Linked DNA regions of Oreochromis niloticus. The protein of the gene in region 1 interacts with the protein of each later gene in a pairwise test. Links are inferred from orthologs where the notes say so. Each region holds a gene or a part of one and is shown in the gene's direction. Other genes may lie near its edges. The genes, in order: mtmr9 and nmi.

Evidence for each region.
Region 2: the proteins of mtmr9 (region 1) and nmi interact in binary tests that used the Homo sapiens proteins (3 or more experiments, as listed by UniProt). The two-hybrid records come from large-scale screens. The link is inferred for Oreochromis niloticus from reciprocal best matches to the Homo sapiens genes MTMR9 and NMI.

Annotation. Positions count from the first base shown.
Region 1 is NC_031980.2:8,513,898-8,526,193, forward strand, and holds the start of mtmr9 (myotubularin-related protein 9), read left to right. Parts: upstream 1-6,935; 5' UTR 6,936-7,074; intron 7,075-7,465; 5' UTR 7,466-7,468; coding exon 7,469-7,650; intron 7,651-9,313; coding exon 9,314-9,422; intron 9,423-9,575; coding exon 9,576-9,701; intron 9,702-9,791; coding exon 9,792-9,965; intron 9,966-11,218; coding exon 11,219-11,436; intron 11,437-12,148; coding exon 12,149-12,296. Other genes in the region: xkr6b (XK-related protein 6b), read right to left, coding at 172-740. UniProt on the Homo sapiens protein: Acts as an adapter for myotubularin-related phosphatases. Increases lipid phosphatase MTMR6 catalytic activity, specifically towards phosphatidylinositol 3,5-bisphosphate and MTMR6 binding affinity for phosphorylated phosphatidylinositols.
Region 2 is NC_031987.2:33,062,588-33,075,682, forward strand, and holds the start of nmi (N-myc-interactor), read left to right. Parts: upstream 1-7,448; 5' UTR 7,449-7,640; coding exon 7,641-7,679; intron 7,680-7,775; coding exon 7,776-7,841; intron 7,842-9,065; coding exon 9,066-9,224; intron 9,225-9,321; coding exon 9,322-9,438; intron 9,439-10,140; coding exon 10,141-10,312; intron 10,313-11,065; coding exon 11,066-11,172; intron 11,173-12,237; coding exon 12,238-12,424; intron 12,425-12,564; coding exon 12,565-12,668; intron 12,669-13,095. Other genes in the region: ubxn4 (UBX domain-containing protein 4), read right to left, coding at 648-676, 2,137-2,239, 3,190-3,274. UniProt on the Homo sapiens protein: Acts as a signaling pathway regulator involved in innate immune system response.

The DNA of each region.
Region 1 (12,296 bases):
GGTGCTGATTTTTTTACCCCAGTCATGTACACAAGATCGGGTTATACCAGGTGACAGTCAAGAAGAGGTTAGAAGGCTGGCTGAGTGGATAGAGTGAGAGGAGCTGGAAACACTGCGCTTTGAGGAGCTTAACCGATTCTTTTGAGGCCCAAACTTAAAAGTTTGTCTTACCTCCACACTTGTCCCATCTGAAAGATGTGTATGAGGGTCTGCCAGACCCAGACGGAGAGGCGGCAGCACCTGTCTCTTTGCAAACTGGCTGTAGCTCTGCGACTACTCAGCCCCTCCACGGAGCCCAGTCCTCCCCCCGTGTAATCCTGGACAAACCACCTGAAGCTCAGGATCTGAACCAGAACCGAGGGCACCAACACGAAGAACAGGGTCAGGCCTGACCACAGGAAGTCCTGTTTGTGATAATAGTCGACGGCCAGCCACAAATCGGTCCCCACGTCCCAGAAGAACACCAGCAGTGCCAGGATGATCCACAGGCAGTCCAGCCAGAGGCGTTCCTCCTGCGGTGGTCGCGCTGCATCTCTCCCCTTCCCCTTCCCCTTCCCCCGGAGGTAATGCAGGCAGGCGCTCCGGCAGCCCCAGTAGCACGACGAGGTGTTGCAGCAGTGACAGATGTGGAATGAGCTGCCGTCCCGAGTGTCGTCCTCTCCCGTCCCCACCACCTCGTCCAGATTGTGCAGCTGGGCGAAACCGGTGACGACCCCGCGACCATCGGATTTCGCTGCCATCTTTCCCTCTGATGTTCCCACCTCCTCCGGCTTCCGGGGTTCGTGACGACACTTCCCTGACACCTGTTTTGCACCCCAAATGTTGGAGCCATCTAAAAGCGGGGTGTCAGCGCGTCGCCGTCGCTCGCTCCGTCCCCAGAAAGCGCACCGGTGGCGCAACAGACGCGGCACATTTTCCCCTGCTTTCCCTCCACTGCAGATCTACTCCCACCTGGTAACAACAATCTAATCTGCGAGTTCAAACAATTTAATTGGCAACTCATGCGTCCGACTGCGATCCAACAATTTTTACCTGCGCATTAATCTCATTTCCTGCTGTTCAGTTGTTTCCCATCTCTGCAGCTCGCCTCCAGCTGCAAGCGGAGTGCCATGAGCAGACGGTCCCTCCACTGTCCCACGCCGACGTAATTCACCCCCCCTCTCTCCCCCCCCCCCCCCCCCTCTCTCTCTCTCTCTCTCTCTCACACACACACACACACACACACACACACACACACACACACAGACTCACTGCCAACGTGGTTGCCATCTAGTGTCTCATTTGAAGCCCCAAAATATGTAGGAGTGGGCTGACTGCATAATGTAGATGATGATTTGGTGATGACTTGAGTGTTTGAATCAATCATACTGACACAGTTTGGAGTCACTGTTTGTGGGATGAAAACAGAAGCTCCTCCGTTTACGTAAAACACACACACACACACACACACACACACACACACACACACACACACACACAAAAAACACAAAAAAAAACATATGCTCCCGAAAGTTTACGTGACCTGCTGTGGTTTTCGCCGTGCGTGTGAGCGCATATGAGGTTATTTTCTTATCGCAGTCGTAAATGTTTAGACTATTAATACAAAAAAGAGAGATGGGTAACTTCTATACAAAATATAGGATGGGGTTTGTTTCAGTGGGAATCAGAGGGGTTAAGCGTATACTGAAAAACACCCCCACCCCACCCTCGGGTTACATGTGGGAACAAAGAGCTGGTGAGTCCGCTGCAGGCTCAACAACTCTGATTAGAATGTGCCCACTGAGCTGCCACGCAGGGTCATATCCAATGTGAGATTGATTGGATCATGTCCGCTTCACCCCCGCTGTCTGCTCAGCTCTGCCTGTGCGGACTTGATGGGAGCTGTCTAGTGCTGAATCCTCGACAGCTCTGTCTTTATTCCCGAAGGCCCTAATTGAGAACGCGTCGTCTGAACTAGTTATCTATCTAACAAGGTTACTGTAACTAAACTGAAACTGAAAATTAACGTGAAATATACATTTTAGTTTGTTTGCTAATTTTTTTTTTTTTTTAGGGAAAGAAACTCAAAATGAACTGAAATGATTTTGTGAACAACTGACTAAAATAAACTAAAACTATAAAGAAAACACCCTTAAGTTTACTCCTTGTCAGTCTGGCAAAATGTATTATCCCACCTTGCCTGATGAGGCTTTAGTTTTTACTGAGACTTAGCATTTCTACAAAACTGTGAGTCAACTGCTTTCAAAAAGCTCTGTTTTCTATTGTGCTACATATGCTGATTTTCCTATATCTTGCCTCTGGCATGTTCCTTCATACAATATCAAATAAAAACACTAAAACTAATGAAAAACTAAACTGAAAAGACAAAAAAATGCAAAAAAAAAACCTAACTAAATAAAACTGACTTAAAAACAAACAGTCAAAATGAAATTAAAATGAAAACTAATTGGAGGAAACAAAACTATAACATGTCCGGTAGTCAACTGACAAAAGCATCCCTACAATCTACACTCACTGGCCACTTCATTAGGTACATCCAGTCATCTTCTTATTAATGCAGGCATTGAATCAGCCGATTACATTTCATTTGCATTTAGGGGTCAGGCCTAACTAGTTGATGTTCAAGCTGAGCATCAGAATGTGAAAGAATGGCGGTTTAAGTGATTTTGAACGTGGGATGGTTGTTGGTGCCAGACGAGCTGGTCTGAGTATTTCAGAAACTGATGATCTGCTGGGATTTTCCCACACAACCATCTCTAGGGTTTACAGAGAATGGGCTGAAAAAGAGAAAATATGAAGTGAGCAGCTATTCTCTGGGTGAAAATACTTTGCTGAAGCAGGGGTCAGAGGAGAAGGCCAGACTGCTTCAGCAACAGGCAACAGCAACTCAAATAAGCACTTGTTACAACCAAGGAATTCATAAGAGCATCTCTGAATGCACAGCACATCAAATCTTGAAGCAGCTGGGCTACAGCAGCAGAAGACCACACCAAGTGCCACTACTTCAGTAAGTTCAGGAACCAGAGCTCAATCCAATAGTGCATCTTTGGGATTTACATCATGGATATGCAGCCAACTGCAGCAACTTTGTGATCCTCATGTCGAACAAAATCTCTGAGGAGTGTTTCCAGCACCAGTTATTTGGCTCAGAGTAGCAGGTATAACTTCATTACTACCTCAGGTCTCTAAACAGTGCCTTGTGAGCAGCACTCTGAATGCACACTCAGGTTTAATGGCCTGGGGTAGGCAGTGAAAAAAAGGCCTCAGAGCAATAATAATTAAAAAACAAAATTATACAGCAACAACTGTTTTCTTGTAATAACAATAATTTTACACACAAAAAAGCAAAACACAAACCTACAGTAGTAAGTGTGTGAGACTCAGAGATGAGTTAACTTTAACCCTGTGAGGTCAGTGATGACCCCAAACATGGTCCTAAATCCCAACATTTTGAGAGATAAACAAACAAATACTTATTTGTTAGAAAAAGCAATGTAAATAGCTGTTACGCGCATCAATTCAAATATTTTTATTACTAATTTCCAAGAACATTTTCTTTTAATTGGTGGGAGAACATGTTAAACATACAAAAATCGACACATTCGGATAGCATGGGATCAGATGGACTCAGAGGGCTGAAAGAATACAAGACAGGAACAATAAGGCTTTTTTGAGGAGTAGGTCTGGGGTGATGGTTTTCTAAGGGTGGCATACGCAAAATTATTCAGGCAGTATGTGTGTGATTCCCACCCAAGTACAAGGAATCCGCGAAGCAGTGTGGCTTTACTTCAAATGTAAATGTGGCATCCTGTGAATAATATGTTCAGGTTGAACAAATCAATGATGCACTGTAGGCAAGGCTGTGTTGTGATTTCAGAGGTTAAATCAATACAAGTGGCAATGAGAAGCTAATAACAAGACTGTGGGATTCTCCTCTACTTTGTATGAATACTAGTGATGCTGTAAATAACATCCATCTGGCTTATGTTAAATTTTACCATGGGTCACTTCTACAGATGTGAATAATTATCCCCAAAATATCAATGTATAAATCTAAGAAGGCAGATCATGCTTTGTTTTTGTTTGTGTGTGTCTTCTTATGTATGTAAATTTATATAAACCAGGAATAGAAGACAAAGAATGAGAGAAAAAGAAGTTCTAATCAATTACAAAGAAAAATTACAAAGAAACACTGAGCTCTATCACTATTCATTGAAGGAGCTTAATCAACTCGATCAGAGGCAATAAGCCTACTGATGGAGCACAGAAGTGCAAATCCAGACATTTGTCACAGTGAAAAATCACAACAGATTCTGGTGTTAGACTCCGCACCTACATCAAAGTCATTATCTGCCTTGACAGACAGCTCTGATTCACTGGACATGCCCAAAATAACACCACACAAACAAGAACCATTCAGAACAGAAGGTTAAAGTGAAGGAGTGAATCATGGATGAGATTGTCTTCATCAGAAGATGAATGAAGAGCCTGGGTGAGTAATTGGTGTTGGTGTGGGTACTAATTATCCAGCCCCTAAAATTTGCCAGACGATGTTCCAGCATGTTTGGAACTCTTCAATAAATGTCAAAAAATTGCTCTGTGGGAAGTGTGGGAGTGAGCATTCAGTTCCCTCGCGACAAATTTGGACACTTAACAGATCGCAGTTTGACGTTAACTGGGAGCCTGTGAGAGCACCTTTAATGGGAAATGTGAGTATGTCTTTGGCAATAGTTGCATGCAGTGATTTCCCACGTTCCATGGAGTTACAGTCATTATCCTTCACCCACTTTTATATTTATAACTTATTCTTCTTTTTTGTAGGTTGTGGATCTTTTATAACAGACGCTAAACTAAATCATCTTCACATTTGTCAGAGCATCCTCTTAAATAAAAGATAGAGGTTAGGCTTCTCTGTTGTATTCTGTGAAGTGCATGTTTGCTTTGAAAGTTATTTTTTATCAGTTCATCTCTTGACAGCAAAGCATCTTCTCCCCAGAAGAAGAGCAGTTATTTGGTTTGTAAAGCAACGCTGGGTTTCACATTCAATTTAGCCCTGGTGTCTGTACAGCGCTCCCTATGATGTGGGCTGGGAAGGCCCAGAGCAAACCATCTATTGTGAAGCTTAGACAGGCTGCAAGTGAAGCAAATACCGTGCTGATTTGCAATACATCACAGACACACACACACACCCACACAATGCTCAGAATGTCTAAAACAAAATGGTCCACAGTAGCCTCTGCCAAGCTATCTGCTATTCTTCTTCTCCCTCCAAAAGCGTTCACCTCTTTAGGGAGTCTGCCGTTCAGGCTCCTTGTGTGTTCCTTCATATGCTTTAAGATCTCAGCGGGCAGTTGTCCTCACTATTCAGAGAGCTAAGACAAAAACCTCAGGCAACGTTTCTTCTTTTTTTTCCCCCTGCTGCACGCCCTTTCTTTAGAATAAACCCCCCAGCCGCCTTCAGCTAATGCAGCGCACACATGATCTTTAAAGCCCGAGTCAAAATGTCATTATCTCTAATGAGTATGAGTGTGTGCAGCTTTTTAATCTCCTGATTATTTAATCAGCATCCATAAAGCAGAAAAGTGCAGTTTAGTTTGAGCTCATGCTTAGCCTTGTCAGTAGGTCCCCTCCTCCTCTGTCATTTGTGTTTAAGGGTACTGAAGTCTCCTGTGTCTGTTCTGCCCCTGCCAGCTGCCTACTGGCTCCTCCTTCGTCTACCCCCCCTCCTCCTCCTCTTCTTCCTCCTCCTCCTCAGGCCAGATATGACTTCTCTCTGCTCTCCTTGTTAAACTTTGCTACACCAGCCTGTCAAACTGTACTTGGAACTACACAAAGACCCCACACTAGACTTTTTTTCCTTTGGGGCCTCGAATCATTGGACTTAATATTAACTGTTAAAACTCTGTCTTCAGTTCACTTTAACTCCCATTTTTTCAATTCGAGATGGGACTCTGCAGGTCATTGTTGTCCACTTATTTTTTCTTTTTGTTGTTGTCTAAGTTTTCTTGATACCCTTACATTTTAGTTTACAGCTTGTGCATTTACCTGACTTACTGCAGTCTTACCTTGCATACCTATCTGTGATCAGTGGTATTATCAGGCCTCCACCACCAGGCTGGATCAATAATTTAGTGTAATTCCATTTTTTTTACAGTCTATAGCAACAATTGTCAACAACAGTCACACCAAGTTGCTTTATGTTGTAAGGTAAATACCCTACAATATTAGAAAGAAACTTTAATTACCAGATGAGCTCCTATAAGGAAGCACTTGGGAACTGTGGGAATGACAATCTCTCTGTTAATAGGAAAAAATCTCCAATGGAAACAGACAATTAGAGTTTAATAATTGCCAATTATTAAATTGAGTAGTGGCGTGTAAACCCGCAGGAAGTGACAAGAGGTACGTGATTCAGTGCATCATGGGAAGCTCCCCAGCAGTCTAAGCCTATTACAGTATTACAAAGAGATGGCTCGGGGTCACCTGATCCAGCACTAACTCTAAGTTTTATCGAAAAGGAACGTTTTAAGCTTAATGTTAAATAACATGTCTAAATGTATAACATGACTCACAGCACATCTATCATCATACATTATCTACCCGGTGAAATCAGGGCAAAACTGTTTAGACTTCTGAAAGCCAGAAATCTCTCAAAAGTACTCCAATGTCACCACCTAGTGACCTTTTTTGATATTGGTCGGTAGACCCCAAACACACAGACTAAAATGAAACAGCCTTTCACGGATTTTCAGAAGCCTTGTAGATGAAGCACAGATCTGACGCTGCCTCCAAACCATTAAACTCCAACTCATTCACTGTGTTGCCGTATGGATGTTTAAACATACGTATATCTAATATGTGGACATTATAAGTTCTTCGGCGGCTGTACAGATTTAAAGTATAACGCTAATGTTAAAGAACACAGGAGAGCACAGAGTCACTTCCCGTTTTAGACGAGAATTGCGGAATTTGGGATGCAGAACTGAGCCGAGAAAAGCCGGTTGTTTCCAGTCGGCGTGTTTTTCTTAACGTACCAGTATCGCCCTGCGACCAAATAAAAGAAAACATTGTCAGGTAGTTGTACGATAAATATTTTTAGTGTTGGTAAAAAATGGTCCTTGTTGTTTTTAATATTTATATTATACGTGATGTTTGTGCTTTGGCTTGAATTTTGAAATGTCGGCCGTTTTATATGGTAAATTATCCTCCTTTCTGTCACGATTAGCCTGCTAGCTGACGTTAGCGGTTTAATTTCCGGAATAGAATAACTTTATCAAGATGACCTATTTTTGTAGTACTTTTTCATCTTTACTGTTAACCGACATGGACGCACACGATATATGTCTCATATATGTCGGCAGAGGTTGCGCTGGCCTGTCCTTACAATAATAGTAGCTTGACTTAACCAATAGCGTTGTCTTTATGCTTTAAAATCACCGCGTCTTTTTTCTTTCTGTCTGGTCAGATTATGGAGTTTGCAGAGCTGATAAAGACACCCAGGGTGGACGGGGTTGTCCTACACAGGCCTTTCATGCCTACTGTGGAGGGGACTCTGTGTTTGACTGGTCATCACCTGATTCTCTCCTCCAGACAGGACAACACGGAGGAGCTGTGGCTGCTTCATTCAAACATTGACTCGATAGAGAAGAGGTGACAGCGTTGTGTTGTTGTTTTTCTAAATGACTGTTATGTAATCTCTTTATGAAAATGGTACATCACCTATCTTAAATAGATGCAGGTCAGTAGAGCATGCATTTGGTAAAATCAGTTTGAGTTACGCCTGTTTTTTAGTGCATGCTGCAGATCTGATTATTTATTAATAGTGTCCATATGCTTAACTTGCTTATAGTTAAACTGGTTAGAGAAACTAACATCAACTGGTTAAAGACACGGGGCTTGTAGTGGCAAAGAATTTGTTTTTCTTCACTGCTATTTCTGGTATTTGTACCGTCTTTAAACATTTTAGGTTGGACACACAAGCTTCAGGAGGTTTGCCTAGTACTTAACTGTCAGTTTCTCCTCCAGTATTGGCCGAACCTGCAGATGACCTTAAGGTATGGGTTTTCTAAATGGAAAATAACTTGGAACAGTGGTAAACCTTCCCAAGTGTGCCCAGCCGACCAACACTGACACATCCAGGAGGTCTGAATAGATACCAGATCAACCTTTAAAGAACTGAAGACGTCAGTTAAAGCCAGTGTTCATGATTTAACAATAAGAAAGATGTTGCACAAAAATGGCATCCATGGGAGAGTTCCAAGGTGAAAAATCACTGCTGACCAAAAACAACACAAAGGGCTTGTCTGACATTTGCAAAAGATATCTTGATGATGCCCAAGACTTTTGGAAAAATACTCTGTGGACTAACGAGACAGAAGTTGAACCTTTTGGTATGAAACTAACATGGCATTTTATTTAAAAAAACAAAGTCATACCACCAGTCAAACATGGTGGTATTAGTGTGATGGTCTGAGCTGCATTGCTGCTTCGGAATCTGGGTGGCTTGCTGTATTTAATCAATTCTCCACTACCCAAAAATCCTGAAGGAAAATGTTCAATCATCAGTTCATGCCCTGAAACTCAAGCACACTTTGGTTATGCACCAGGACATTGGTCTGAAACACACAAGTCTACCTCTGAAAGACTCATTGCCAGTTATCACAAACACTTAATTGCAGTTCTTGCTGCCAAGGGTGGCAAAACACAAGTTATTAGGTTTTTTTTAGATGGTTCCAGGTAGGTTTGGATATCTGTTTCCTTTAATAAATGACATCATTTTAAAATGGCATTTTGCATTTACTCAGGTTATCTTTGTCTAATATTAAAATATATTTGATCTGAAACATTAAAGTGTGACAAATATGCATAAAAACAAAACAAAAAACGAAGCAGGCAAATACATTTTCACAGCACTGTATTGTCTCTTTCATTGTAAAGCAAATGACTCATAAATCATCCTGCCTTTCTGACTGAACTTCATGCAGATACCTTCACATTAATCCATTAAGAATGGATTTATGCAGCTCATTGTACTTGGATACTGGCCAATCCACTCTTTCATCTGTAGCTGGGGCATATTGCTGCTTAGAGCTTATGTACTGAGCACTGAGTACTGAGACTGCCTTTAATAACAATCACCGAATCTACAGTCAAACTAACAGTTGTTTCAAAGATTCTTCCAGAAACCCAACATGAGGATAACATGCAAATTACACACAGAAAGCCGAGCTGTAGGGCTCAGAGTAGTTCACTGATACTCTGTGTTTGTTCATGATATTCATCCTCTTTATTGTGCTCACCTTTTAAATTTTAGATTTGTGGGGTCTTTGGGGCACATCACTGTCAAATGCAAAGACTTGAGAATGATTCAGCTTGAAATCACTGGTATGGAGGAGTGTCTCAACATTGCCAGTTCTATCGAGGTAAGAACAAAGGCTCCCCGCCGGAAAGAGAGTGATTATTTTTAGCTACGCTATATTTTTCTCTCAGGCTCTCTTTGTTTTTGTCATGTCAAGTTAAATTCTGCATGTGATTAAAATTGTGAATAACAACTAAATGTTTTCATTCCTCTCAAGGCTCTGTCGACTCTTGATTCAGTCTCCCTGATGTACCCTTTCTTCTACCGGCCTATGTTTGAAGTCATAGAGGATGGATGGAATTCATTTCTTCCCCAGAATGCCTTTAAAGATTTGGAGTCCATGGTACGTTTAGGTCTCTGCTGTGACATTACAGAGTAATTCAATTTGAATCAGGGTTATTGGACCTTTTTTCCCCTCTACATCACTTTGCAGACAGATGAGTGGAGGCTGAGTGAGGTCAACAAAGACTTCAGCTTGTGTCCGTCATACCCCCCACTAGTAGCAGTACCCAAAGATGTTGATGATGAAACGCTGAAGAAAGTAGCTACTTTCCGTCACGGTGGCCGTTTTCCAGTACTTAGCTACTATCACAAGAAGAACGGCATGGTAAGCGCAAGGAAAGATAATTACTCTCTGCCTTTGACCATCTCTTTTGCTTCTCATTGTTTGTGTATTTGAACATTATAGCTAGGGATGGACTGATCCAATATACAGTATCGGTATCGGTCCGATCCTGACCTGAATTACTGGATTGGATATCGAGGAGAAATAAAAAATGTAACCCGATCCATTAAATATTACAAAAGCACCTTACAAAACTTGCAACATGGCTTAACCCAGGTAGTGACCTTAGCACGTCAGAGAAGTATGCGTCACGTGATAGAGCGGCTGTTGCGTGCGAGACCTGTTGGTGGTCTGGAGTTGCTTGTCACTGAAAGCATCTGGAGCCTCGCTACGTGCTGCCAAACCGGTATTTCACCTCTGAGTAAGCTATCCCAGAGAAGTAAAGCAAGTGTGTAAGTTCATCTCTGAATGTTTGTCAAGCATTGTTACGTTAAGCTTAACAACTGATATATGGAGCTCGGACGTCTGTGCGTTGTCATTGCTAAGTCTGACCGTACAATGGATAGACTCAAGTTTTACTTTGGGAAAAAAAAACAACTGTGTTGCAGGTTAAACAGTTCCGTGGTTCCCCCCCAAAAAACTATGAAAACACTTTTTCATACTTGTGTTTTGTATAGAAATTACACAAAATTCAGTCTAAGATTAAATGTGATAGAAACTTCTTACACTGACATCCATCTTGATAAAACATGAGTGTCATGAAGGCATGTTTGCATTTATTTGCACTGCTTTCCACTCTGGATATCTATTTATGTTAAGCTTTAAGTATAAAAGGGTCCATTCTACAACCCATTTATTTTTTAGTTGTTGAATATAAACATTATTTTGTGCTGATATGGCACTTCTTTTTTTCAGAACCAAAGAGTTTTTGAAATCTGTATAAATTGAATTTTAAATTACTTTTTGAATATTACTTTAAATACTTAGATTTACAGTTCTGCTAAAAGCTTAAATAAAAAGATCAGTATTGCTGAACTGCAAAATATTTTGGATGCAGTGTATTTTTTGCAAGTGTAATAGAATAGCTTTAGTGTTTTGTCTTTTTAAATTTGAGTATGACCATATACAAGATATGCAAGATATTAAAAAAACAGTTTTATTGATTATAAAATAGACTATATCGGATTTATATCGGTATCGACAGATATCCAAATTTATGATATCGTATCGGACATAAAAAAGTGGTATCGTGCCATCTCTAATTATAGCGGCTGACAAATCACTTGCACTTTCAGGTGATGATGCGAGCAGGACAGCCACTGACAGGCACCAATGGGCGACGGTGTAAGGAGGACGAGAAGCTGATCAACGCCACTCTGCGGCCAGGAAAGCGTGGTTACATCATTGATACACGCGCTATCAATGTTGCTCAGCAGGCCAAAGCCCGAGGTGGAGGGTTTGAGTTGGAGGCCAACTACCCACAGTGGAGGAGGATCCACAAGGCCATTGAAAGGTGCTTGGACACTTAGATATTAAGAAGACAGTAACACTTTATAATACGACCTGTTTAGAGTCTGCTGCATTGCAATTCCCCTATGAATAAATGGAATTTCAATTTATTATTATTATAATTGCCTATAAATGCTTAAATGTGGGTACGCTAGAATACTGGGGTAACAAGTCACCTTTATACAGGAATCAAAGAAATAATTATACTGTAAGTACATTTAAGTAGTGCCTGAATTCTGGCTGTTTTTGAAGGTATTTGTTTTTTCTTGTAAGCTGATAAGGGACAACAAGCCTTAAGGACATTTGAGTAATAGAACGTCCATCATGCACATCAACATAACAAATATTAAAAAAAATAAAGATGCAAAAAGGCATGATTAATCCACTCCATAATATGGCACTGAAAAGTGCAACTTGTGTTTTTCTGCAAAATTACCAAGAAATTGCACAGCTTAAATTTACTTGTTTTAATTTCTTGTAAAAAAGCTGACTTGTTGCCCCCCTCATTCTAGTGTACCTACTTTTAATTATTTGCAGGTAAATATAATGACATTTTAATTTCAAATAAAATACATTAACTTTTAATTTAATGAAAAAGGGAATTACACCCTTAGTTGTGGGCTGTATTGTGAAGTATTACCGAGAAGACTAGATAAAGCGGAAACTGATTAAAATGTATCTGCTAATTTAAATGATCCAAATAAATCTTTTTGCAGGTATAATGTCCTTCAGGAGAGCCTGATTAAGTTGGTGGAGGCATGTAACGACCAGTCCCACAGCATGGACCGCTGGTTAAGCAAGTTGGAGGCTTCCAACTGGCAAACTAATGTCAAAGAGATCCTCACCACTGCCTGCTTGGCTGCC
Region 2 (13,095 bases), on another chromosome or scaffold:
CTACTGCGTTTCTTTCTGTTATGAGTTTGAGTAAATGAATCACTGCATTTGCTTGCAGCTGGAGGAGTGTGCCGTTAAAACAACGCTATTATTGTTTTGTGTCTCTTAGCCTCAACCAACATTATTAGCAAACTTACTCATGGGCAAATAAATAAATCACTCTTGTAAAAACGATCGGTGAAAGGCTCAGCCTATCGTTGATGGTCGATAATATATTCGTCCAATCGCCCAACCTTAATAGCACTTTTCACAGTAATAACAACCACAAAGCACTGAACAACAATTCCAACACAATACAAACAAAGAACCATATCAAAAACAGAATTTAAGGTAAAAAACATAAACAGGAATATCAGCAGATGGCCTGATTAAACAGAAAAGCGCTCTGTGCGTAAGTGTGAGAACTTTAAAATAAATTCAACAAACTTCTGTGAACTTCAGTTGTTGAACTGTGAGGGGAAGCCACAGCAGCCTGCAGAAAAGCCACACAAGCAAAACGTGCTCACAGAAAGCTCTAAAATCAGATTCGAAGTCAGAACCTTCAAGCTGTGAGGCTCCGCCAAGACACCCAGTTCCCAAAGACAAGTCAGTAATAAGTTTAGTAAGCACTGCGGCATCAGCTCAAACCTCGCACAACAGAAGGATACAAATCTGGGAGAACTGTGCACACGTGTCACTGTGGGGAAAGAAGAAATCATTGAAACATTTTGTGGTTTAACTGCAAGCACATTAACATCTCTGTTTAGAGGTATTACATCAAATGCTTGTTAGACTGACAGCGTGATCGAGGAAGGTTTAGGGCTGATCTTTACAGTAGCAGCAGCAGTTTGCAAAACCTGGGAGCTGATTCTAAGAGAAAAGCAAGGTAACGACGATGCCCAATCAATCAACCCAATCACCTTTGACGGCTGAGGGGTAAAAAGGTCAAAATAAAAACTGTGTGTATGCAGATAAACTGTTAGATAATTCAATCTGGCAAATTCTTTACAAACTTTGTTGACAACAGATAACTTGTCTCGCTCTAATGGTAATACAAGCAGAAGTAAATCTAAAGAGAGGCATAGCATTTTAAAAATAGTGGAGGAAATGCTAACTGCTGCTCTTCTCATATACATCTAGAGTATATACATTAAGGTAGTAAAGTAACTGAATTAAATAAGCAGCCATTAAAAGTCGGATGTACAGGCTTGGTGACACAGGGAGGAAAAGGTGTGAAAAGTGATCCTCTTTACATGAATGTCAAAAACCCACAATGATCAACACTTTTCCAAACTCTTCATTCTTCATTTAGTGGTGACTCACACAAAATTCCACGGCACATACAATTTTTGGTGACTGGTAAGTTACGAACAGGTAACAGAAGACTTTATAACACATCTTTTTAAAAAGATGAAGTTTATCCACAACTTCAATAAGGTCAGTCACCTGCCTGCTTTTCTGTTCTTCCACTTTCCCCACACTGTCAAGCTCAGTACTTGTGTCATTACTCTAGTCAAATCATCCTGTCCATCTTCTTTGAGCCAATTAGCCTCTGCTTTGCATGGCTTAAACAGACTCGTCCATGCAACCAACCTCCTCCCTATCTCCACCTCAGCCATAGCTCCACCCAAGCCTCAGTCTTCATCTTCACCACCACCAGAGTCTAGACTCCAGGGGGTCCTGTCCCAAATCCCATCACTGCTGGGATTCTGTTCTGCTATGATGGATCAACGGGGTCTAATCGCCAAATACATTAACTTTTCTATTTCAATAAATCATGCTACGTCAATCAACATTCATAATCGCTGTATGTATCACAATGTTTCTGCAAAGTTTAATTCCGAATGGCCGACACGATGAGTAGGAGGCAGGGTACACACAGACTTACGTCATGGTCATTATAGTAAGAGACAGACCTGTACAACTGATTCAATATGGAGAAGCTGGAACTAAATGATGTGTAACAAATCATATCTACAAACATCCATGAAGCACCATGTCATGTGATTTTAAAGTCGCCACAGCAGGTTTTGCTAGTACACCTCAATCTATTGTTGATTTTATGTACAGTTAATTCCATGCAGGTAACTTTAAATCTTGGTTCATCCTTTAACAGTTTACTTTCAACTAAAATCACTCTACCTAACACATCTTTACCTCTTGGCCTCCACTTTGATGGCCACGCAACATTTCTGGGCCGCCTCTGAGACCCTGTCATCCTCCCAGCTGGACATCAGCTGTGCTGACTGTTCATCTTCTCCTAAGGACAGAGTGACAGGAAACTGATGAGACATGTGGTCAAAACTACGGGTCCAGCTTCACTGATGGAACTGCAAAAGAAGCGCAGATCTCATCTTTTCCAACTCTTACAGTAACGTCCCTCTGCGTAATCTGGGAACCACTTTTCTCTCCTCTGTTCTCAGTGTTTCTGTGATGCATTGATGTATTACAGAAACAACTGTGCCAGGTTGGAGGCACAAAACCAGAGATTTTGACTCCACAGAAAACAGAAGCTGTTTGTCACTTTGTGTCAGCTTCATGCTCAACAACATCTGTTCAGATCAAAATCCATACACTGTTGTATACTACTAACACTGTCTATATCTGGTCCAGTGTGATGCTGAGACTTATTGTAGAGAGCTATTTAAAGGAGACCATGCCATGAGTCTAGTTCTTTATAATTCGTTATTTATTTTACATACGATCCTAATCCTTTCCATAAATGTTTCTTTTTGCATCTCGCTTTCTGATTAATTACAAAACACAGAGATATATGCGGCATATCGTGAACCATGCTGACTATGTGGAGCTCCTTTTGCTCCACAGCGCCCTGTCATACTGTGATGTAGCGCTGAGGCTGGCCAAGTAAGTGTACTCAGCTACTGTTCTGCAGGTGGACGGACTGTCCCTCATTTATGAAATCCTCGGACTGGCCTGCGGAATGCAAACAACTAACGCTAGCGTTACGTCAGCCCGGTTCAGCTGTGAGGACAGCAGGTGCTGTTGCACAGGACGTTACGCCGACAGACCCTGTACACCATAGATACGTTACTAGACTTCTGTATTCTTGCTGTCGGTGGGTATTCATCAAATACATATGACGACTTCTTTCATAACACACTGACTATGCTAATTAGCTAATGGCTACAATGGCTTCCAACGCTAACTGGCTAGCACTCTATAGAGTTTCCGCATGTTTTCAACTGTTACCTGTGATGACAACGACAAAGACCAAACTCCGTTGTTTAGCCGATTTAATGGCATCAGGAATTGAGCCCTGAAACCAAAACATCATTGCAAGTTGAGTTCTGTGTTTCTGCTTTGGAGACACAGACGAGCAGCTAGGCTAACCAAACCTAAAGCCCAGTCAGCCTGTCACTTTCTACTTCCGCTCCCAGCGCATATCAGCTGGCTGCAGCGTCAGCTTCTCTTCTTCTTCTCCCCTGTTTAGCGCCCCAAGTGTTGCATTACTGCCTCCTCCAGTTTCACTAATTAATCACAATCGTATCATTGCTATCCGGACTTTATGCTAATAAATTATTGTCGAAAAGAGTCTCCTCCTGTTCTTCCCTGACCCTAAACTTTGCAAATCTGTAATCACCTCTCCTCTTGTTCATTGCATCCATGTGTCAAATCAACACAGTTACATTCTAAAGAATAATGGGGAGTAATGGAGTGGTTATGAACTGTAGCAAAGAGTGTTTATTTAATAAAAAACGGGCTTATGGGAGGTCCAGGCCCACCCACCGAAGTAACTGCCATAGTGATGGGCAAAGCACGGCTTCGTGAAACAACGTAACGTATTTAAAAGAGACATAAATACTAATTTCACTTTCTGTGGGGATCATCCAGAAACTGTGACACACCTTTTTTGGTACTGTTCTTCTACACAGAGCTTCCGGAAGGAATTTAGCTGGTTTGTTATTGTCCATATTTTGAGGGGGTTTTCTTTACGATTGGAAAATGTTTTATTCTGTTTCTTTAAGTTCCCCGAGAAGAATGATAAATGTTTTTTATATAATAAATTTCTTAATACATTTAGCTAATTGTTTTATCCATAAATCTACGTTTAATAATAAAACACCATATTTCTGTCACTTTCTTAAGGATGTAGAATTGTACATAAACTCAATATCAGACTCCACCAACAAAAAGGCTCTTAAAACAATTCATATATGTGAATTTTTGCGTGTATTTATATAGTTATTTTTTTCCCCTGGTTTTGTGTGTTCGTGTTCTTTTCTCTTGTATACCTCATCTGTTTATATGTTGTATACTCATTGTTTGTTCAATAAAGTTCTTTAAAAAAAAAAATGAAAACAAAACAAAGCGTAATGTTCGAAGCGTTACAGCCGGTCGAGGCTTCGAAACAGTCGGAAACACATGTCCACAGTGACATCTGCTGGCCAATTTGACTATCGCCATATATTGATAATACTGTTCTGTGAAACACTGATGCAGACAAGCCCTGCACAATTCCAAGCAGAACTACTTACAATACCAGACTGTCAGTAATGGCGATGAGCACATGTTTTGGAGAAACTCCCACACAAACAAAGAAAGAACAATACTGAGACTGTTAAAGACAGCAGGTGATGATCCTAATAAACAGTGTGCTTCAACAAAATTCTCTCTCTGTTAACATTTGTGTTGCTTACAGTAAGTCAGTTTATAAAGTAATACATACAGAGAGCAGACTGCTGTGGTTACTGTAATAACCACACAGGCTTCCAGCTGGTGTTGTTTTTGCTCACAGCCCTCAAAGACTGGATGTGTTTGGTTGATTTTTAAGTTTTCTAGGAGTTATCAGGTTTGTTCTACACACTGTCAAGTAAAGTTAGAAGATGGCATAACATTCGCTTTTATTTTTAATTAATTTAAAAAATATTCATTTAAATGAAATGTGTTTTCCTTCTTTGTAAAAAGTTCACATTTCTCACATTTTCATTGGCTAATTCTGACCAATCGTAAGAGTCCATTTCACACACCATCTTTCAACTCTGCTGTGCAACCTCTGAACCATGAAGAAACTTTCCTTAAATTTCTATTGCTGTATCTTGTAACACTGATGTGATGTTTGAATCAGAAGTTTTGGTTATAGTGAACCTGCGGCCTCCTGTTGTTTATGAGATATTTGAAGTGAATAAAAAAGGGAAAAGAAAAATCTGTCATGTCATCTGTGGGTTTTTTCTAGATTTTATTTTTACAGAATAAATATTTTACTTATGGTGACACAGTATGTGAGTAACAGGTTATTGTGATGATGAAGTCACTAATGCTGCAAATAACACTTTCTGTTGAAAGCAGAGAACAGACTCCTCCTGTTTTATTTTGTCCTTGAAAGCAGAGGCGAGTTTTATTAAGCTATTATAATTAATGTACAGCACAGAGTGCCGCTCTCTCTCTCTGCTGATATGAGTTAATGGAGCTCACCCACAAGTCTCTGTTTTTCTTGCTTTCTCTCATCTGTATGACAGTAATTGTTGAATAAGATGATTATTCGTCAATCTAATATTTATTTAATTACACTTTTGATTCCAGTGTTTGAGTCATTGAATGGTCTAAATTGGTCTTCACAATCCACAGCAGGTGGGGTATTGCTTCTTTTACACATGCACCTGTAATAAATCCAAGCGGTAGTATTAAAAACATTAACTCAGTATTTACAGATGAAACTGGTTCATGAGAAACTGGCACTGCCTAAAGCAGCAGGTACACAACCTGTAATAATAAGTGTAATAAGAGAAAGGGTGTAGTCAGCACTTTGTGTAGATGTCTCAAAGTTGTGGGCACAGTGCCAAAACTCTGTCCTAAACCTTTTCACTCAGTCTTTATAATGAGGGTTTTGAGGCAAGCTCCACTGATTATGATAGTAATACTGGGATTTCCATGAAATGAACTGAGCTGTCTTTGACTTTGACCATGACTTAATCACCTGTAGTGTGTAAAGACACCACTAAAGCTGAACTGAACTGCTGCATTTGACTTGCTACCTTTTCAGTTTTCCTTCCATTGCTTTCACAGTAACTTCCAATATGTGCTGCTTACACATCACCATCCAGGAAACTGACTTCTTTAGACTGTGCCACTCTGAGCAGAAATAGATGAGCTTATTGACGTCTTCTTATTTGTTGTTACTTCTGTAACATCGATTACTTCTGAAAAGAACTTCAACATTGTTCCTCCCTTGTGGCAGCGGAGAAGCAGACGTGAGCTTTACCAGAAGAGACTGTGCTGTAAAGTGCAGCCCGGAGCTGCAGAAGCAGCACACGTGTGAAGCACGAGCAGAATAAAGGAAAGACTCTCTGAACAGTTTCCAGGGTCTCCCCATAACAGCCAGTGATACAAATATAATTTTGTTGTTATTTATCAAAAAATTGATAAATAACTCTAACTATGTCTTATATTTGAGATTCCTGAGAGTAGCCACCCTTTGCTTTGTTGAGTGCTGCAAACCCTTGGCCTTCTCTTCATTATGTAGTCACCTGAGAGTTCTGGGTCATGTTGACCCAGCATTTTGAGTTTCTTGTGTTTTGGTGTTAATTTGTATTATGTTTATGTTTTAGGTTCATTAGTAGTCTTAAGTTTAGTCTGTTCTGAGTTTCTTATTCTTATATTGCCTGCTTTGTAGCCTGAAAATATCTTAAAAGTTTATTTTGTGATCCAGAAAGAGTAATATTTCAAACTCCGCCGCTCTGCGTTCCTCTGCAAATGCCTTGTTTGAGTTTTGGACGAAATGCATACTGGGATATTTGCCTGGGTTTGGTTACAGTAGCTAGCGAGCTGAATGGAGAAACTAAAGCAGCCAATCAGAATTTTTGCATCCAAATCTGTGATTTTTTGGTTTTGTGGCACAAATATAATGCTGTACAGAAAGAGTTGAACGTGCAGGGGCAGAGATGTTGAAAGCGCGAGCAACACATTGAGAGCAGGTCCGCAGAGATCTGAGCAAGAGCAAATGCAAAACCTGAGCGAGAGGAATAAATTTCTCCTCAAAATGCAACACTTGTACTTTTTTTTTTACGTGCTCTCAGAATAGTGAGACAAAAATAACACCATAGTGTTTGACCTCTGTGTCCCTCCCTGTGTGTTTGTGTTTATGTGTGCGTGTGTGTCCTTGTGTCTTGTTTCTCTTTTCTCTTCCCATGTTTCGCTTCTTGTGTTTCATTCCACGTTCCCCCCGTCTATGGATTTTTTAGGTGCTGGTAACATATTGTACTATTTAAAATAAAATACACATACAAAAAAAATGTAAAATCGTTTTTTGTTTTAAAAATATTTTTGTTTGTTTGTTTTTGTAATTAAATGGGTTAAGAATTTCATGCATATTTTTAGCCAGAAAATTGCGTGTTTTTTCCTTTATCTAAAGAATCAGTAGCTTCCAACACACACACGAGATGTTTTTATTAATTTATTTCTTTGACTGTGAACTTTTGTCACACTTGGTCTTCCATACCGGGAAGCTCGTCACACCAGGCTGTAACTTTCACTTTTGATTTGGAGCTGTTTCCGGCACAACAGGGCCACTTTGTTTCTTTTCTAACTTCGACAGAAAATAATAAGTACTCAAAAAAGAGGCAGTGCAGTCACAGCTGGCTGATTTTTGGATCGTAGCTACCAAGTGAAGTTTTCATATCTGTTTCTTTTTTGTCATTCAGACCATGGCTGAGGTCTTCGGTAGTCGCTCGCTAAATGATAAGGTGAGTAATAATGTGTTCGTCTGTTTGTTTGTTTTAGTCCGTCTAAGAAGAAACAAGTGGTCCACAGTTGTTAACGATGCCATTCTTTCTTGGCAGAAGGAAGGAGGCCTGGATAAAGACGGTGAACTGAAGGAGGCCAAGCGAGAGTTGGAGGCATGGAAGGTAGGCCGGAACTAATGCTGAACTACATTTTCCATTTTCAGGCGTGAAGTGTTTTAGTTCAATAGTAAAATAAGTTCACGATCCAATCGTCAAAATACATTTATGGGAAAACGACAACTGCTCAGCCGGAAGTGTCTTCATTCTCCGTTTATAGAAGAAGGTGGTTTGTTTACTCAGTACTGTGAGTGATCTGAGTGATTTAAACAGTAATTACAGTTCTCAGATCTCTTATTTAAGTCGAGATGCAATCCTGCATCGTAAAGGCAAGCCCGGAACTAAGTATGTTCTACAAATAAACGCACTGGACTGAAAAGCCTGAAAGAGTCTATCTAAATGCCCATATTATAATAAATGTCATAATATTCATTGATATAATTTATTAGCATTGAGACATCACGGGATACATTTTATTTACACATTTGAGATTAAACTTTAAATGGTTACTTATATTTGGCTGCACAGAACATGCAGTTTGCAGCTGAGGTTTGCAGTAAACAGGGAGAAACCGTAAAGCAGCTCGCTTCAGCAACTGAAAGTCAGATGGAATGGGCCCAGGCAGCATTCCATAGGGTGTAGGCCTATATTTGCTCAACTAAGAACTATTTTGACGGCTTTTGAACTTTTGATGGCTCACACTTTAGCAAACAAGGTGCAGGTGAAGTGAGCTCGACCAAAAATGAATAAACACTGTTTTAGTCCTTTGTTTGGGGGAAAGACTGGCACATAGTCTGTCAACGGCTGCACCATTATCCTGTGAAACATGCACAATTACCGTGATCAGTACAGATCTTGATTAGTGATTGCTCAGGAGCCTGTTTATATAGAAAATAAATAAAGGTACATAAGGTTAATGTCAACTAAAATGCAGGCATACAACACTAGGGGGACGCAGAACGAATATTGAGTTTCGTCAGTGAGCCAAGTGCACAGCATTGTTTAGGATTTCTCTTTTAAATTTATATCATAAACTATTTATAAATGCTTCAGTTCTTCCACTTTTCCCTCATAAGGACATAAAAACTAAGTAAAGCCTTGTTTCTCTTCCAAATCTGTACTTTTCTCACTTATCAGCAGTGGTATTATATCATTCAGAATGACTTGAGTATATTTGGTCATGTTTAAATGTCTGTCAGTGAGAGAATAATTTTATTTGAGTAGCATGTAGTCTCTTTGTAGACTGCCCACAGTTGTATTCTCTCTGAACACCCCCCATATCTCTTAAAGGCTAAATTCGAAAAAGCGGATGATACGAAAGCCAGGCTGATACTGGAAAAGCTGGGGGAAGATGATGCCAAGTCAGAGGCACAGCAGGAGATGAACGTTTGTGTCAAAAACCAACAGAAGACCCAGGATGAATTTAATCAAAGCATGAAAACAGTTCAGGTACACTTATAGTCTTCTCTGTAACATCTACATTACACTCAGAGGAACTGAGAGTACAAAACTCTCACCAAATATTCCATTTTATTCTTTTCCATAGGATGAAATCCAGAAGCTGACTAGATACAATCAAGATTTGCTGGGGAAACTGAAGAGATGTCAGGCTGAACTGGAGGCTAAGAAGACAGAGTCCTGCAAGTTACAGCAGAAATTCAAGGTAAAAACCAGGAACACTTTCAGATCTGTCCATCTGCTCACATTTACATACAATAATCACAGGCATTAATGTGATGGTAATTATGGTAATGATTTCTTTGAATGCTTGTTTTTCCAGGGTGGAATAATTATACAGAATATCTGTTTAATGAAAACTGGAAGCATAAGTTTGAATTTTTTTTGGGATTTTCCACACATGGTCAAAAGTAAACTTACAGGCTCCAGTATATACATGCACCACCAAACATATTAAAATGTCCTTTAGCAAGTTGCATCTGGGTATTGAGCTATTTTGAGGTGAGAGCAAATTTACACTGTTACACAAGCTGTACACTGACTATGTTACATTGTATCAAAGTGTCATATCTTCAATGTTGTCCCATGAAAAGATATAACAAAATATTTACATAAATGTGAGGGGTGTACTCACCTTTGTGAGATACTGTATAGACATACAGGCTCATATATATTCTTTTGAGTGTGTGTGGATTCAATTCTAAATTGTGCATCTTAATTTCAGTTTTTTAAAATTCCTTCAAGAGCTATGCTCTACAGTCATTCCACCCTGTGAAAGGCAGTTCACGGCCCCAAATAAAACGGTGACTTTCATGTTCCTGATCAGTGGACACAAACGTCTGACCACAGCTGTATACACATTGAAACAGATAACGGCCTGTAACTCTGTATTGTCCCATCTGTCCAGATCTACGCCCAGATCCCAGACACAGAGGTGAAATTCATTTCTCAGCATAAAGAGCCAAGGGAAGAGGGTGACGAGGACAGTCAGCCAATCAGAGGAGTGTTTACCATCAGCCAGAGAGCTGCTGTGCTTCTGCAGGGAGGACAGGCTCTCATCACCTTTGAGGAGGAGAAAGGTAGACGTCATTTGACTTCAGTACTCTGTATGGTTCATTCTTACTTATGTTAATGTTAATGAAACTAAAAATAAGGAGTCCTCATGGTTTTCCATGCTTTGCTGTGTAAGATATTTATACAACGACAGTTAGCACTGTCACTTGGAAAAAGACACATACAAGACAGTTAAATGCTTAAAATAAAAAACAGAATTTCAATTTCAGATAATAAATATGAAATTATGATTTCAGACAGACGTGGTTGTAAACTTTGGATCAGCTGTTTCAGTTTAAGCGTTGTTTTCAGTAAACTGCTCAAGAAAATGTTTTGTCTCCCATTTCTTGAAACTTGGAACCTTGTTAAGATCCAACCAAGCAAAATATGATTTTTATGCCATTTTTCAAGTGGTCTTTAACTTTTGATTGGGACTGTATCTGAAGCTGCACCTGCCACATGAATGTTCATCTTTTTAGTTTAACATGCATCATATCAGCATCAGATCAGAAATCTCTGCAACACCAGCTATAACAAAATCAAATACTTGATTTAAACTTGGGTGATTTCCCTTTCAGATTTTTGTCCTTGTGCATGTTTGAACCACTTCCAATACTGCTGCTATTGTAGGTCACGCCTACCTGCAGTTTCACTTGTTAGTGGTACAGGTGGTGATACTTTCTAAAATAAAATTACAACAGTCTTCAGTTATACTGAACGGTAAATGAACTGGTTATTATGAAGCGCTTTGTACAACGTGCCTCATTCTTGGTCTGCAGTGGCTCGTCAGATCCTGAAAATTGCCAAGTGCTCTGTGTCCTGTGAGAACAGCAGTTTGGACGTGAAGCCGAGAAGAATCACCATGGATCCTGCTGTGAAGTTCGAGGTAGATGCTTCGACAGTGTCATCAGGTTTTTTTATGCTTCAGTTAGTAAATGAAGCCTTATGGGTCACAACTAAAAGGAAAAAGAAACCAGAGCCTTATTTTTTCTGTTGACTGCATCTCTAGTTTCCTCTCTATAGTTTCCACAGTTGTAACACTGCCAGGTCATTAAAATCTGTCCACAGAGTAGGAGTGAGACAGTACACAGCTCCAGGATTACTTATTGCTGTGATGACACAAAGAGAATACTTTCCTAAAAATACTTCTTAACTAAAGCCAAAGTTTTTTGGTTTTAGTTAAAAAGTATTTCTAACAATACCGAACTAGATCCATCCTGAGTCATTCCCATGAAAAATATGGCCTTCTGTGTGCGGCGGGGTCAGAATGAACAAATTAAAACAGGAAGAAACTAAACAAGGAACACAGGAATGTAAACTTGACTTGGAGAACACAAAGAGCAGGAAAAATGACCTCCTGGGACAAGCAACAACTAAAACTACAACCTAATATCAAGAACCAGAAAATGGAAAATTAAGCTGGAATTTGTGACAACATAAAGAACATACTATACAGTAAATATAATAATGAATAAAACAAAAATAATAAACTCAAAGCATGGGGTTAGCAAACAAATATATAGGACTGCTTTCTTCCACTTATAATTTTTTTATATTTATATATATAATTTTAAAATCCTTCTCCTCACAAACCCTTCAATAATCAGGCCCCAACTTATCTTAAAGACCTCATAGTACCATATACCCAAGTACATCACTTTGCTCTCAGTCTGCTGATGTACTTATAAGACATTTAAAAGTAGGATGTGAGGCAGAGCCTTCAGCTTCCAGTTTGGATTCGTGAGACAGACACTATCTCTACTTTTAAGATTAGGCTTCAAACTTTCCTTTTTGCTAAAGCATATAGTTAGGGCTGGACCAGGTGACCCTGAATCCTCCCTTAGTTATGATGCAATAGGTGTAGGCTGCTGGGAGACTCCCATGTTGCACTGAGTGATGTTTTGTAATGATCAACACCCTGTAAACAGTGTGTGTGTTCACACCGATGTAGGTCCACCTTGACGTTTCCAGAAAGGAGCTGAAAGTTTCCAACGTCCCCGATGTGATGCCAGAAGAGAGAATGAAAGACCGACTGGAAATTAGTTTCTCCAGGCCCAGTAGAGGAGGAGGAGAGGTGGAGAAAGTGGAGTATGACAAGAACACCGGGACAGGGCGTGTCACATTCCTCCAACCTGGAGGTAAAACTCTATAAGATAATTGTGCCACATTACACAGTTCATTATTCTTAGTTAGTTGTTCTAAGTTATTCTGCACCGTTACAATAGTTCTATCCCAGCTAATTATGTTAATGCTCAAATGTATGTGCATTCGTGTGCAGTTGCTGAGAGGCTTGTCATGAGGGGAAGGTACAATGTAGAGCTGGACGCTGAAGTGAACGTGCAGGTTGGACCCATTTACGAATACCAGCTGCGCAGATTTCAGGTAAGATACAACACTGAGACTAAAAGCACTTTGTGAACTTAGTTAAAAGCACATTTTATCACTTGTACAACATTTAACTGGACAGGCTGCCAGTCTGTTGCAGGACTAACACAGAGACACAGGCAACATTCATGCTAACATTTTACACCTGGAGTCCCTTTGGAATCATCAGTGCCTTTAGGCTGTTTCAAAATAGAAAATATCAAATAAAATGTGACTCAGAAAACCATACTTACCAAACCTCACGTACCTTTTTGTGCCTCTAAAGGTCGTGCTACTGATGGAAATCTCTAATTCAATTAACAAAATAGCCATTCCTGCTGGATAATTCCTTTCTTTTACTTAGGCTAGTCGTCAGAATTGACAATGTGTCTTGAAACTAATTTCTTAAAATTTCACCAACAGAGACAAATGGAGAAATGTTTAA